Linked DNA regions of Saccharomyces cerevisiae S288C. The protein of the gene in region 2 binds, or shares a complex with, the protein of the main gene of each other region. Each region holds a gene or a part of one and is shown on either strand. Other genes may lie near its edges.

The links.
Region 1: MRP7 (region 2) and MRPL3 share a complex: the UniProt entries of both Saccharomyces cerevisiae proteins name them as parts of the mitochondrial large ribosomal subunit.
Region 3: MRP7 (region 2) and MRPL28 share a complex: the UniProt entries of both Saccharomyces cerevisiae proteins name them as parts of the mitochondrial large ribosomal subunit.
Region 4: MRP7 (region 2) and MRP49 share a complex: the UniProt entries of both Saccharomyces cerevisiae proteins name them as parts of the mitochondrial large ribosomal subunit.

Annotation. Positions count from the first base shown.
Region 1 is NC_001145.3:320,256-323,547, reverse strand, and holds MRPL3 (mitochondrial 54S ribosomal protein mL44 MRPL3), read right to left. Parts: upstream 1,674-3,292; coding exon 501-1,673; downstream 1-500. Other genes in the region: CSI1 (Csi1p), read right to left, coding at 1-248; MSS1 (Mss1p), read left to right, coding at 2,531-3,292. UniProt on the Saccharomyces cerevisiae protein: Component of the mitochondrial ribosome (mitoribosome), a dedicated translation machinery responsible for the synthesis of mitochondrial genome-encoded proteins, including at least some of the essential transmembrane subunits of the mitochondrial respiratory chain.
Region 2 is NC_001146.8:620,813-624,159, forward strand, and holds MRP7 (mitochondrial 54S ribosomal protein bL27m MRP7), read right to left. Parts: upstream 1,617-3,347; coding exon 501-1,616; downstream 1-500. Other genes in the region: TOR complex subunit LST8, read left to right, coding at 1-166; HRB1 (mRNA-binding protein), read left to right, coding at 2,103-2,132, 2,475-3,347. UniProt on the Saccharomyces cerevisiae protein: Component of the mitochondrial ribosome (mitoribosome), a dedicated translation machinery responsible for the synthesis of mitochondrial genome-encoded proteins, including at least some of the essential transmembrane subunits of the mitochondrial respiratory chain.
Region 3 is NC_001136.10:1,384,385-1,387,016, reverse strand, and holds MRPL28 (mitochondrial 54S ribosomal protein mL40 MRPL28), read right to left. Parts: upstream 945-2,632; coding exon 501-944; downstream 1-500. Other genes in the region: STP1 (Stp1p), read right to left, coding at 1-201; CMI8 (Cmi8p), read left to right, coding at 1,251-1,493; MFA1 (mating pheromone a), read right to left, coding at 1,731-1,841; TFIIH/NER complex subunit TFB3, read right to left, coding at 2,241-2,632. UniProt on the Saccharomyces cerevisiae protein: Component of the mitochondrial ribosome (mitoribosome), a dedicated translation machinery responsible for the synthesis of mitochondrial genome-encoded proteins, including at least some of the essential transmembrane subunits of the mitochondrial respiratory chain.
Region 4 is NC_001143.9:133,221-136,110, forward strand, and holds MRP49 (mitochondrial 54S ribosomal protein mL61 MRP49), read right to left. Parts: upstream 915-2,890; coding exon 501-914; downstream 1-500. Other genes in the region: putative serine/threonine protein kinase KKQ8, read right to left, coding at 1-242; cAMP-dependent protein kinase catalytic subunit TPK3, read right to left, coding at 1,289-2,485. UniProt on the Saccharomyces cerevisiae protein: Component of the mitochondrial ribosome (mitoribosome), a dedicated translation machinery responsible for the synthesis of mitochondrial genome-encoded proteins, including at least some of the essential transmembrane subunits of the mitochondrial respiratory chain.

The DNA.
Region 1 (3,292 bases), on a different chromosome or scaffold from region 2:
AGGTTAATTCTCCTTTCTAGGCGTTCTTGATTTATTTTATCATTTTCCTGCATCGGGATTCGTATAACTTTTTCAATATACCATTGAGACTCTGCTTCATTACCATTTATTGGGATGTAAATTTCATCATCTTGATCCAATTTGCAACCTATCAATAAAAACCAAGAGTGGTCTATCGAGTCAAACGATGACTCGTGCAGGAAGTTAATTTCTGATATAGCTAGAGAACTGAATTTTAGGAGGTCCATTTACCCTATATTACTTTGCTTTGTGTTATTATCCCCTCACAAATGTGCGTTCTCTTTAAATATAGCAAGTCTTTTTTTTTTTTGTCTGTTTCCTGGTAAGATATAGTAGTAAACAAGGAACATGCTTCTGTTCACTTTTATATATTTTAGTACACATAAAGTAAACGCATATCGTACCAACGTGTATATATATATGTACAAGAATGTATTCTGGTTAAGGAGTTCTCTATCTACAAAATGGCAAACACAGAACTAAACAACAACAGTGCCAGGATCAATAACTGGTTCCTGTTGAGCAAGAGGCTCGTAGCAATACCATTTCATCAAAGCATCAGTAGCGGCTCTTGCTTTTGCCTCCTTTAATGAGGAACCATAACCTTCACCTAATGTCTCTTCGCCTGAAAATACATGCACAATAAAGACAGGTGATTTCGATAGTCTACCAGACTCAGCGACCAGTTTCGATACAGGTTTCTCCAGCCCCTCTCTACGACATAGCATAGCCAATTCTCTTGTAGGTTGTTCAAACTGGAACATTTTCGTGATATCCAATTTCCTGCTCATTATATGATCATCAATAAATCTGTAAACAGCTTGAGAATCTTTTTGCTCCGTTACTGCCCAGATGGCAGCTATTATACTCCTCACGCTCATTGCAAGAGCGCTTGTTTCTGAAAAGTTCTTTCCGGTGATTAGCTCAATACCGTCCTTAGAGTTCAATGAATTATTAAAGAATTTGAGTCTTCCCAAAGTGAATTCGAATGGTTCCATTTTCAAATAGCGTGATAAAACAGACGTAGTTTCTACTTCAATACCCCAGTATTTAGCAATGTGCGCCAGTACCGCCTCTGATATATATGCGTTAACCGCAGCATTCAAAACCACAGTGGGTAGTCTCGGATATTTCTGTATAATGGATTTTGTAACGTGGTAAGAGAGCAAGTTCTTTCCCATGATGTTTAAACCGTGGTTGTCCAAGTATTTATTAGTAGGTACAGTATTAACGAAAGCTGCACCTTTTGTAGGATTATTTATCTTGTCGGGTAGTTTTGCAGAGGGACACGTTAAGCATCTGGAAAGTGTTGAATAGGTCAACTCATTAGGTAATTGTAATCTCTTATGAAGCGTTCTTAACGAAGGTGACTTAGAGGCCACTGATTCAGGTATTTCATTTACAGTGCTCTTCAAACCCTGGTAGTATTCCTTATATTTAGCAAGTTCAGATTCGGGTAGGAAGCGCTTTTCTTGTTGTGTTAATGTTGAAAGGTGTAGGTATCGTTTTGAAGTAAATCTCGAGGATTGCTGCAGAAAGCATGTGCTAGACAAATGCTGTGAGAAAGGTCTTATGGTTCGGCTCCAATGCCACGTACTGTTTGGAAAAGGTTTCATACCTGCTGCTATTGCTCTTTTCAAAACTATGCCCATTCTGTATATATAACTACAGCTTTCTTTTCACCAATTCTTTTCAGATTATTTTAGTATTGCTCTTTTTCAGAGGCGGGAAACTTCACTCTTTACCCGGCTGCATATTGTAAGGACCTTTTCTATAATCACGCATTAAAGCGACTGTAATTTATATCTAATAGGATAATAATTTGCCATTAATTATTCATCTTGTTGCGTCTACAATCATTCTATTCCGTATTCTTTATGTCAAGGCATAAGAGACCTTGGTGTTTACTTTTCATCTTTCCGTAACGTTTTCTATAAACAGTAAAATTGATGAATCTTTGGAACTCCACCTTTCTTAAAGGTAATAATATGCCATCCATATCGGAACGAATGGGGATTAATAATAAATGAGTTGCTATAGTAGCAATCTAAGTGCTGACATCGTATACGTCTGAATGTGAATGTGCCGATTCCAGAAAAAAATATTCTACTTGCAGTTCAGAAAGTACTGAGGCGGCGTTAAAGATCTATTAGATTGATAATCTTCTGATAGTTGTATATATATATATATATATATATGAGTAACACGGGTTGCCACATGTCTTCAAATTGGTTTCATTAATAAAAGTTTAAAAATGTATCCTACATTTATGTTTTCTATACTTCTTCAAAGTCTTCAATACAAATCGGGCGTGTGGCGTAGTCGGTAGCGCGCTCCCTTAGCATGGGAGAGGTCTCCGGTTCGATTCCGGACTCGTCCATTTTTTATTTTTTTGGCTAACTAACCCATATATAACGTCTTTTACGAGGTTACATGAAGATACAGCAATATTCCATACGACTGCTATCTACTTAGAGAATGTTATATATGGTTAATAAGTATTCTATTTATGAATAGTGCATCTTTCTTACAATCACGGCTTATTTCGAGATCCTTTCTCGTAAGAAGGTCGTTAAAGAGGTACTCCGGACTTGCAAAGCCTTATACCTTCCAGCAACCAACCATATATGCATTATCTACACCAGCAAATCAAACCTCTGCGATAGCAATCATAAGAATATCTGGTACCCATGCTAAGTACATTTACAATCGACTAGTTGATTCAAGTACAGTTCCGCCGATCAGGAAGGCTATTTTGAGGAACATTTATTCGCCGTCCTCTTGTAGTGTGAAACCTCATGATCAAAAGGAAAGTAAAATATTATTAGACACATCGTTGTTGCTATATTTCCAAGCTCCTTATTCATTTACTGGTGAGGATGTGTTAGAGCTGCACGTTCACGGCGGGAAAGCCGTAGTTAATAGTATACTGAAAGCTATCGGCTCGTTACACGATAGAAGCAGTGGTAAAGATATAAGATTTGCCTTGCCTGGCGACTTCTCCAGGAGGGCGTTTCAAAATGGAAAGTTTGACCTTACCCAACTTGAAGGTATCAAAGATCTTATTGATTCGGAAACAGAATCTCAAAGGAGATCTGCCTTGTCAAGTTTCAATGGGGATAACAAAATCCTATTTGAGAACTGGAGGGAAACCATTATCGAGAATATGGCACAGTTGACTGCTATAATAGATTTTGCCGACGATAATAGCCAAGAAATTCAGAATACGGATGAGATTTTCCATAATGTAGAAAAGAACATCATATGTCTG
Region 2 (3,347 bases):
CCAAAGGTGGGTTTGGGATTGCGCATTTAGTGCTGACAGTGCGTATCTAGTAACGGCATCGTCCGATCATTACGTGAGATTATGGGATTTATCAACTAGAGAAATTGTCAGACAGTACGGTGGACACCACAAGGGAGCTGTATGTGTCGCATTAAACGATGTATAGTTTACAATTTATCAACTACCAAGCTTGAAGGACCGAAGTGACAAAAAACATTATGATTTTCAGTGTTTGCTTATCCGCCTTTTTGTAAATATAGATTTTACTATCCTGTGCATTTTAGTTAATTGATTGTTCACAAAATGAAAGCAATCGCGATGCATATCATCAATGAAAGGAAGACGAGAATGTACAGTATAAACATATTCCCTTGCATGTAGCACTAAATTTTAAGTTTCGTGTAGACGAAAGGTTTAGCTACTTGCGCGACAAAATAGTAATATTTACAGGCATTCTTAAACATTTTATATGTGTACATACTGTGCGTAAGGAAAGAAAATCAAAGCTTGCTCAAAAAAGCCCGCCTACTTCTAGCAATGACTTCAACTTTATTTTTGGTGTAATCAAAACGTCTAGACACAATTGACTTCTTCCCGCTTTTGGTTTCAACCGTACTATCTGTTTCGGGGAAGACCGACTTTAAGTATTTCCTACGCAAATGTACTTCTTCAGATAAAGTCAAAAAATTACAAGCGTCCTTGAAAAGCGCCTTAATATAATTCTTGTCTTTTTTGGTTTCTAAGTGTTGGGATTTTTCTAGGTCCTCTAATAGTTTTGCCTTCAAAGCTTGTTTTTCTTGTTCCGAAATATACTGGTGTAGCTCTAGCTTGTTATTGAAAGATGTAGATGAGTTCAAAAGATCACTACACTCATCAATCTTGGATAGACTCTCCGACAATTTCTCATTCGTCCAGCTTTCTCTCCTTGCCTTCAAACGCTCTTCTTCTTTTAAATAATATCTACTATTGAACCTTGCATCTTCTATGGGGTATCCATTCTTCAGGGAAGCCCTTACACGAATTAAGTATGACGTTGCCAATTCGATGTCTTTTATATCTAACTTAAGTTCATCCCGAAGAACCTTACTCAACTTGTCTTGTAACTCCTTTCTTTTAGATTCCCTGACCTCTAACTGCTTCAAAATATTAGGTTTTGCGAGATAGTCTTTTCTAGAAATAGAATTTTCTTCCTTATATGCTGCCCTTTTATTTGTTAACTCAAAACGGCCAAACCTCCTTACGGTAGGCTCAAAATGAGGAGATGGCAGTTTCAAATCACGCCTCAAGGCAACACCAATGAATTTTCTTTTAGGATGAAAAGGATCAAGATAGTAACGAACAACACCAGGTTCTAAGGCGAATATGGAATGATCTTTCCCTATACCAACGTTTTCTCCAGGATAAAACTTTGTTCCTCTTTGCCTCATAATAATTTCACCTGTGGAAACATCCTGGCCTTCATATTTTTTTGGTCCTAACCTTCTTCCTGCAGAATCCTTCATACTTGTTCTCGAGCCCGCAGCCCTTTTGGTGGCATTACGCACTTGAAGGAACACACCAGACACATGTTTTTGGAATGAAAAACTAGAAGTATCTAGTAAAATAGGATTCCACATATTCTCACCTTAGGTTAAGCTTGAAATATTATGACCACCCAAACTGGCGAGTTTTATTTTTACAATGAGCCAACTTCATTCTTCAGTGAACTATCTTGAATGAGTCTCCAAAGAAAGAGCTTTAAAATTCAATAGCGGAACGTCAGATATCGAAACACCCAGTCATAACAGCCAAATTTGCATAATTGGTATAAAAACAGTGTGTATAACATTACAGAGAAGCCGTTGTGTGAAAATCTTTTTAGTACCTATTCAACCAAACAATTGAACTTGAACACCAAACTCTAGCCATCCTTATCCTCTTCTGGTCACTACATATACCTCAATTTACGTCTTTCCTTGGGTCGTTTCAAATGACTCTCTTTGTTTAGCGAGGGAAATGAAAAAGTAGAGTACTGGCTGAAAAATTTCATAATTATGTTTGCTCATGAGTTCGAAAACAGTTTGAATGAGCAGATAGAACGCCAAATATTAAGTTAACAGGATATGTCTGATCAAGAACGAGGTTCAGAAAACGTATGTTTCATTGATAAGGGAGGTGAAGAAAAGTTTGTAAAATGAGACTTTATGAGGTCATTGGAATTAAATAGACATCAACGAATGGTGAGTCACCATTTAATGCTGCCTTCAAAACGCTTGCTTCAATGTGATTCCACTGGTTAAAGGGGGTTTTTTGAATGCATTGCTAATGTTTATCTACTGGCTATGAAAGTGAGAATATCAATTATAAATAAAACCCTGATTTTCTACCTGCCATGCTATAATGTACAGTTTATTCCAACTTTGAAACGCAATGACTTATTGGTCTCTCTCATTATGAAATTTAGTTACTTTTACTAATGTTATTCATTGTTGTAGAATAATCGAAGTAGATCGAGGTCGAGATCACCTGTTCGTCGTCGGATGAGTGATGATCATGGTTATGAAAGAGACAACCATTTGTCCCGGAGGTCAGGTAATTATAACGGTAGGCGTAAGTTCGCAGATACGTACAGAGGAAGCAGAGATAGAGGAGAATATAGAGGAGGTAGAGAAAGGTCTGATTACAGAGAAAGAGAAAGGTTCAATAACAGAGATAATCCTAGATCTAGAGACCGTTACGATGATAGGCGCAGAGGAAGAGATGTGACTGGTCGTTATGGGAACAGACGTGATGACTATCCTAGAAGCTTTAGGAGTAGACACAATACACGTGATGACAGTAGGAGAGGCGGTTTTGGTAGTAGTGGAGCAAGAGGTGATTACGGTCCTTTGTTGGCACGTGAATTGGATAGTACATACGAAGAAAAGGTCAATAGAAACTATTCCAATAGTATATTCGTGGGTAATTTAACATATGACAGCACCCCCGAAGATCTCACTGAGTTTTTTTCACAGATAGGAAAAGTAGTCCGCGCGGATATAATTACATCAAGAGGGCACCACAGAGGTATGGGTACAGTAGAGTTCACTAATTCGGATGATGTTGACAGGGCCATCCGCCAGTACGATGGGGCCTTCTTCATGGATCGTAAAATCTTCGTCAGGCAAGATAATCCACCACCGTCAAACAATATCAAGGAAAGGAAAGCACTCGATAGAGGAGAGCTTAGACATAACCGAAAAACACATGAAGTTATTGTAAAAAATTTACCTGCTTCCGTTAATTGGCAGGCTTTGAAAGACATATTCAAGGAATGTGGGAATGTCGCACACGCTGATGTGGAATTGGATGGCGATGGAGTATCCACT
Region 3 (2,632 bases), on a different chromosome or scaffold from region 2:
GGGAAACAAACTTGTGGTAGTCTTTTCTTCATCTGCTGCATCTTTGCCTTCCTCCTTTGTCGCATTTTCACAAGAATAATGATGACTTAGATCTGGCTTGGATATAATAACTCCGCTGACGAGCTCTCTGAAGAACGCGTATATCTTGCCTGGAATGGCCCTAATATGTTTCTGCGGAAACAGTAGCGTGGTAGAGGGCATTTTTGAACGAATGTGGTATAGCCGGTATAGTTTGCCTTTTCCTTTAGTCTGTAATGTAAATCTACTTTTAATCAATGAGTCCTTGCAGTTTATACAAGAGTCAGCTTGCTTTTTTTTTCGCTTGCAGGGATGGGAAAAAGCAGTAAAAAAAACGTCAATAGTGATACAGTTCATGTCATAATTACCACATGCCCTTTATATGTCTATGTACATATAATTATATAAGTCCATATATACGTGGCATTCTATTGATCATCAGTTATTTACAGCAGGAGACAGTCAAGCGTTCGCTCACGCTATCATTTTCGGAAGTTATAATGCCATAACGTATTTGGGGGGAAGTCAGTGGGCACCTTCATTTCCATCGGGAATCGCTTGCCCTTCTCGGAAGCATTGGCAGCCTCAAACAGACGAGGGCTGAGTTCTTGTAGAAGGTTCATAGATCTCTCAATGCTCTTATATTGTAATTCCAACTGTAAATTTCTGCGCTCCCGTTGTTGCTGCTGATAAATTGACCAACACTTCTCAATGGTCTGATGTTTAATCAGGTCTTCACGCGCCAGCTTCAGCAACTTGGGCTGCTTTCTGCTTGCAGACATCACACTCAACTGCGTGACGACCCTTTGTGCCAAAGGTGACAGTGAGCTCTTGCTCTTTGTTCTCTTATTTCTGATGAAGACCGTGGTCCCAGATACCTGTTCTAGAACGGCTCTGTGTGGTTTTTTGAATGTTTGTGCCAGCATGTGTTATCTTCGTTGTGTAGCGTAGGTCTTCGTCAGTTCAGTATCCTAATCTGCAAATATCTGGAGGTATATTAACTTATGCTTCCCTCCATACAGGCAGGCCCCAGTCTGCTTCATCTTGTTTCTCGCTGGGAACTTTTGTCGCCCCATACGATAGTCACTGTATACGTAATTCTCAGCCGTGCATATTTCACAATAAAGACAGTCTAAAGGGACAAAGGCAAAGCGTCAATGGACAGACGACAATTAACTGGATATTATTTTATGTGTTGAGTATTCAAAGCACATAAACAAAAACAGATTATGATGGATAGCGGAAAGAGTGATATAAATAAGCATGCATACAAGGAGACAGCGACCCCGCTGCCCGTAGATCCGCCCTCTTACGAAGAAACAATGAAGCAAGATAAGGAGGAGGTCGAAGCCGATGAAACGACATCTTCCGCACACAGAGACAGCTTTATGAGGCCTGTTTACACTCACCATCCGCATCCAAGATCCCACAAGGGATATCCGGGTGCGAAGACCCTTACATATACTTCACGGTAGGTGGTAAGCGGTATATGTACATATACATATATATATATATATATATATATATGAGCGTGTGCATGGATGTACAACGATAACAAAAGCAGGTACAGGGTATCAAAATATTTTATATAATATAGTTACTTAGGATATTTATTATTAGGTCTAAAAAGAAATATTACGAACAAACATGATATATTGGTGTAGCGGAAAAGGAAGATAAAGGAGGGAGAACAACGTTTTTGTACGCAGAAACTAAGCAATAACACATGCTGGGTCCCAGAAGACACCTTTGATAATATAGTTGTCCTTCTTTTCACTGCTGGTCTTTTCTTTTGGAGCGGCGGTAGCGGTAGATGGTTGCATTTCTATTCGATGGCTTTGTACTTATTTTGGTTTTATCCGAGAAACAGTTACAGATCCCTCTCATTAATTCATTTCTGGCGGTTTATATATGAAGACTCTATTTCATTTTTTTACTTGATTTTCAGCAACCACTGAATCTGTATCTTTATCTCTACCATTTTAGGTTTCTTAACTGTTTTTTCTGATTACTGGGTTTCATTTAACATGTAAATTTCCTTTTTGGGTAATTACACACTCGTTTGTAACAAGAACAAAGAATAAAGGTATGGGCCAACCGTAGCAGTAGGTGCCTTTTTTCTGAACACTGAAACAGATCGTGAATGCATGTATATGCGTACATAGAAAATAAAAAGTAGTTGATTACATAGCTTATGCCACGTTGCACACTATCCTGATGTTTTAAAGCTCCTCGGATATAACACATCCTAAGCCCATAAATGCCTCTGTCAACACCCTTTCGTACGCATAATTAGTGTTGAACCCAGACGCAATAAATTCTTTCCTGTGCTCAAGATCTTTGATGAATGGGTCATTGTATACTGAACCTTTCAACGTAAACCTTGGGTGTGCTTCTCTATCACCGTTAAACGGCGTGAACGGTACAGCATCTTTGAGTCTCGAATTCTGTACGTTCACATTTGAATTGAAATATGGATTGTTTTTCAGAACTCTATTTAGTTCTTCCAATTTCCTTCTAGCGGACGATTTTTTCAATTTAACCGTATTTTTAACGCCTTCGATTGTTTCATTGATATCCTGGGTGGTCGTACTCAACCGGTTGACGATTTCTT
Region 4 (2,890 bases), on a different chromosome or scaffold from region 2:
CTACGCTGGCGTATTGGAGAATTTTTTGGATCTAAAATTTGTGCGGATACGGTTGATCGTCTTGGTGGCTCAGAGCTTCTCTTGGGTGAGGTAGAAGACGATCGATAAGGAATTCGGGTGACATTAATAGGACTTGAATCTCTTGAACGAGGCGGCCTGAAAAGGTTTTTAAAGGACTCAGAAAATGACCTTACTCTTCTTGTCACAGGTTGTTGCCGCTTCTTCTCCTCCTGCATTACCATTGATGCTGTCAATGTTTTTGAGTCCATCATGCAATTAAACTAGCTAGTTGAAGTGAAAATGAAATTTCCTTATTTTCCACAAGAAATACGCGGAGGGCAAAAAAAGGGACCCAAGGGCTGACAATATTCAGCACAATCCTACTTATTGTACTCTAAATTATATACTTATATGCCCCATAAGTGAGTTTTGAATTTACATATTTCCATGAAGGGCAATGTTTTTTGATATATACATGAACAAACTTATCGAGAGAAAGCTTATATAATACTTTCTTGCGGTCCAACTCTTATGATCTCATTTTCAGGAAGAGGAACGTGCTCTATTTTGTCAAGTAAGTCTTTCATTATATCTTCATGCATTTTATTACGCATATCAATAGTCTCTACAACGGAGCCTTCATGAGATAAAATCTCCAGTTTGCATGGAACGCTTTTTTGCTTGTCTTCGTTCTTTATCCTTATCACGTCAAACTTCATTCTTGGATTATAGAACTGCAAAGTGGGTAGGTAGTTATGCCAAAAAACTCTGGCACCCATATGTCCATTGTGGTTTTTCGTTTGAAAAGTCAATCTAAGACCTGAGTATTTTTTAGGATCGACTAGAATCTGCGGTAGTCTGGTAGTGGCGCTAATTTTATTCAAAAATTTTAACTGTTGTGCAACCTTAGACATCTTCTTATTGTAGCAGGCTCACTTATGTTATACTGTTCTTCTATTAATGAGTTTTATGGCCGATTCTTACAGATATCCTGTTTTCCCTGGGTGAAAAGTCCTAGATCACTTTGAACGTCCCAGTCTTCTGAGGACGCAAATGTAGTCACAATATGGCGTATATGAATGCTCCTTTATTTATCTGTATACACCTCTATTGAATAGACGTACGTAGATATATACATGTACATATATGCATGTGTCACTTTTTTATCATGGCCCTGTTAGACTCACCAAGAATCTATAACCAGGTTTGTTTGTGCTTTTTCTTGTTCTTGTTTTTACTTTTATTGATTTTTTTTTTTTTTCAATTACAATTATCCCACTGAACCTCCTTAAAATTCTTTCATTAAATCCATATATGGATCCTCCCCTTGAATTCCATAGTTGAATTCCTCTTCAGGGTATCTGTCAAATTGAGAAGTGTCACCTTGGCCCTGTTGGATTGGTGGTTCGTACGGCGTTTCTATGTATCTTGCTAACAATTTCTCCCATATCACTTCGTTAAACCACGGATGGTTCTTGACATCTTCACTTCCATTTTGTAAGTTACCCAACCTTTCACTTAAGTCTCTGGTAATTAGCTTCTTCAATAAGTCCTGCGCGTCTGGATGGAAAAATGGTGGGAACTTCAATTCGGCGTTCAGTATATTTTCGTAAGTTTTCATGGTGTTCGAATTGTAAAATGGAGTGTATCCGGCAAGCATTTCATAGATTAGCACACCAAAACTCCACCAATCCACTGATTTATTATACGGTTTTGTACTGACCACTTCCGGCGCTATGTAATCTGGTGTGCCACATAATGTGTATGTGACATCGGGAACGTATTTTGCGAAGCCAAAGTCGGTTATCTTGATATGGCCGTTTTTATCTAGAAGGATATTTTCTGGTTTCAAGTCTCTATATATTATATCCTTACTGTGCAAATATTCCAACGCTAAGCATACCTCTGCGGCATAAAATTTGGCTACTGGGTTGGGAAATCTTTGAGATTTACGTAGTAAAGAAAATAATTCACCACCTTCAATGTAGTCCATTACCATGAAAACTTGCTGAGAATCTTGGAACGTTCCCCACATTCGAATGATGAATGGATGTGAAACAATTGAAAGCATTCGGCGTTCGTCATTGGTGTGTTCAACCTGCTTCAGCTTCACTATAGTGTGCTTTTTCAATGTCTTCAAAGCGTAAAACCTCCCATTGTGATTGGAACGAATTAGGTGAACTCTCCCAAATGAGCCAGTTCCCAAAGTTCTTAAAATCTGAAAGTCACTTAGGGAATACTTTCCTGAGGTATCTCTATATTGTAGCATTGGTTTTTTAACCAAACAAATACCTGCAGACGCTTCTTCTTTCAACTTTCCGCTGTTTCTTCCATTTATCTCCACGGGTGTGTTGGAAGAACATTCCTCATGCACCGAATGTGCGTTTACAGGAATGTCTTGTCCAACGTTATCTGGAGTTGTTTCTGTCTTGGCAGTAATGCTTAATTTCCTGATTTCATTGTTGTTCATCGGATCAACATACATTTTGTGCAGGCTCGCTCTTTCCTTGTACAACCACCGATATACAATATGATTAATGTATTATTCAATAATATACGTGAAACTTTCTTATTGCTTAAAGAGTGATCGCCTATAAATTTTCTCCGACGACTGCACAAAGTGTCTCGTATGTCCACTCGAGTTTCTTACCGATAGAAGTAATAAAGCAGACAAAACTTTTAAGATCAGCTGGTAAAAAGTGTCTTTTCTTTCCATATTCTCATTGAACACAACTTTATTTTTCAATGGCATCGAAGAAATCCCGTAGCTGAAGCAACGGAAAAAAAATACCGGAAACTGCATAATGAGGCTATTCACTAAAAAGAAAGTGGTTCACCAGTATGCGTCGGAAACGTCATATAAATCTATATATGTATATGTACATATATA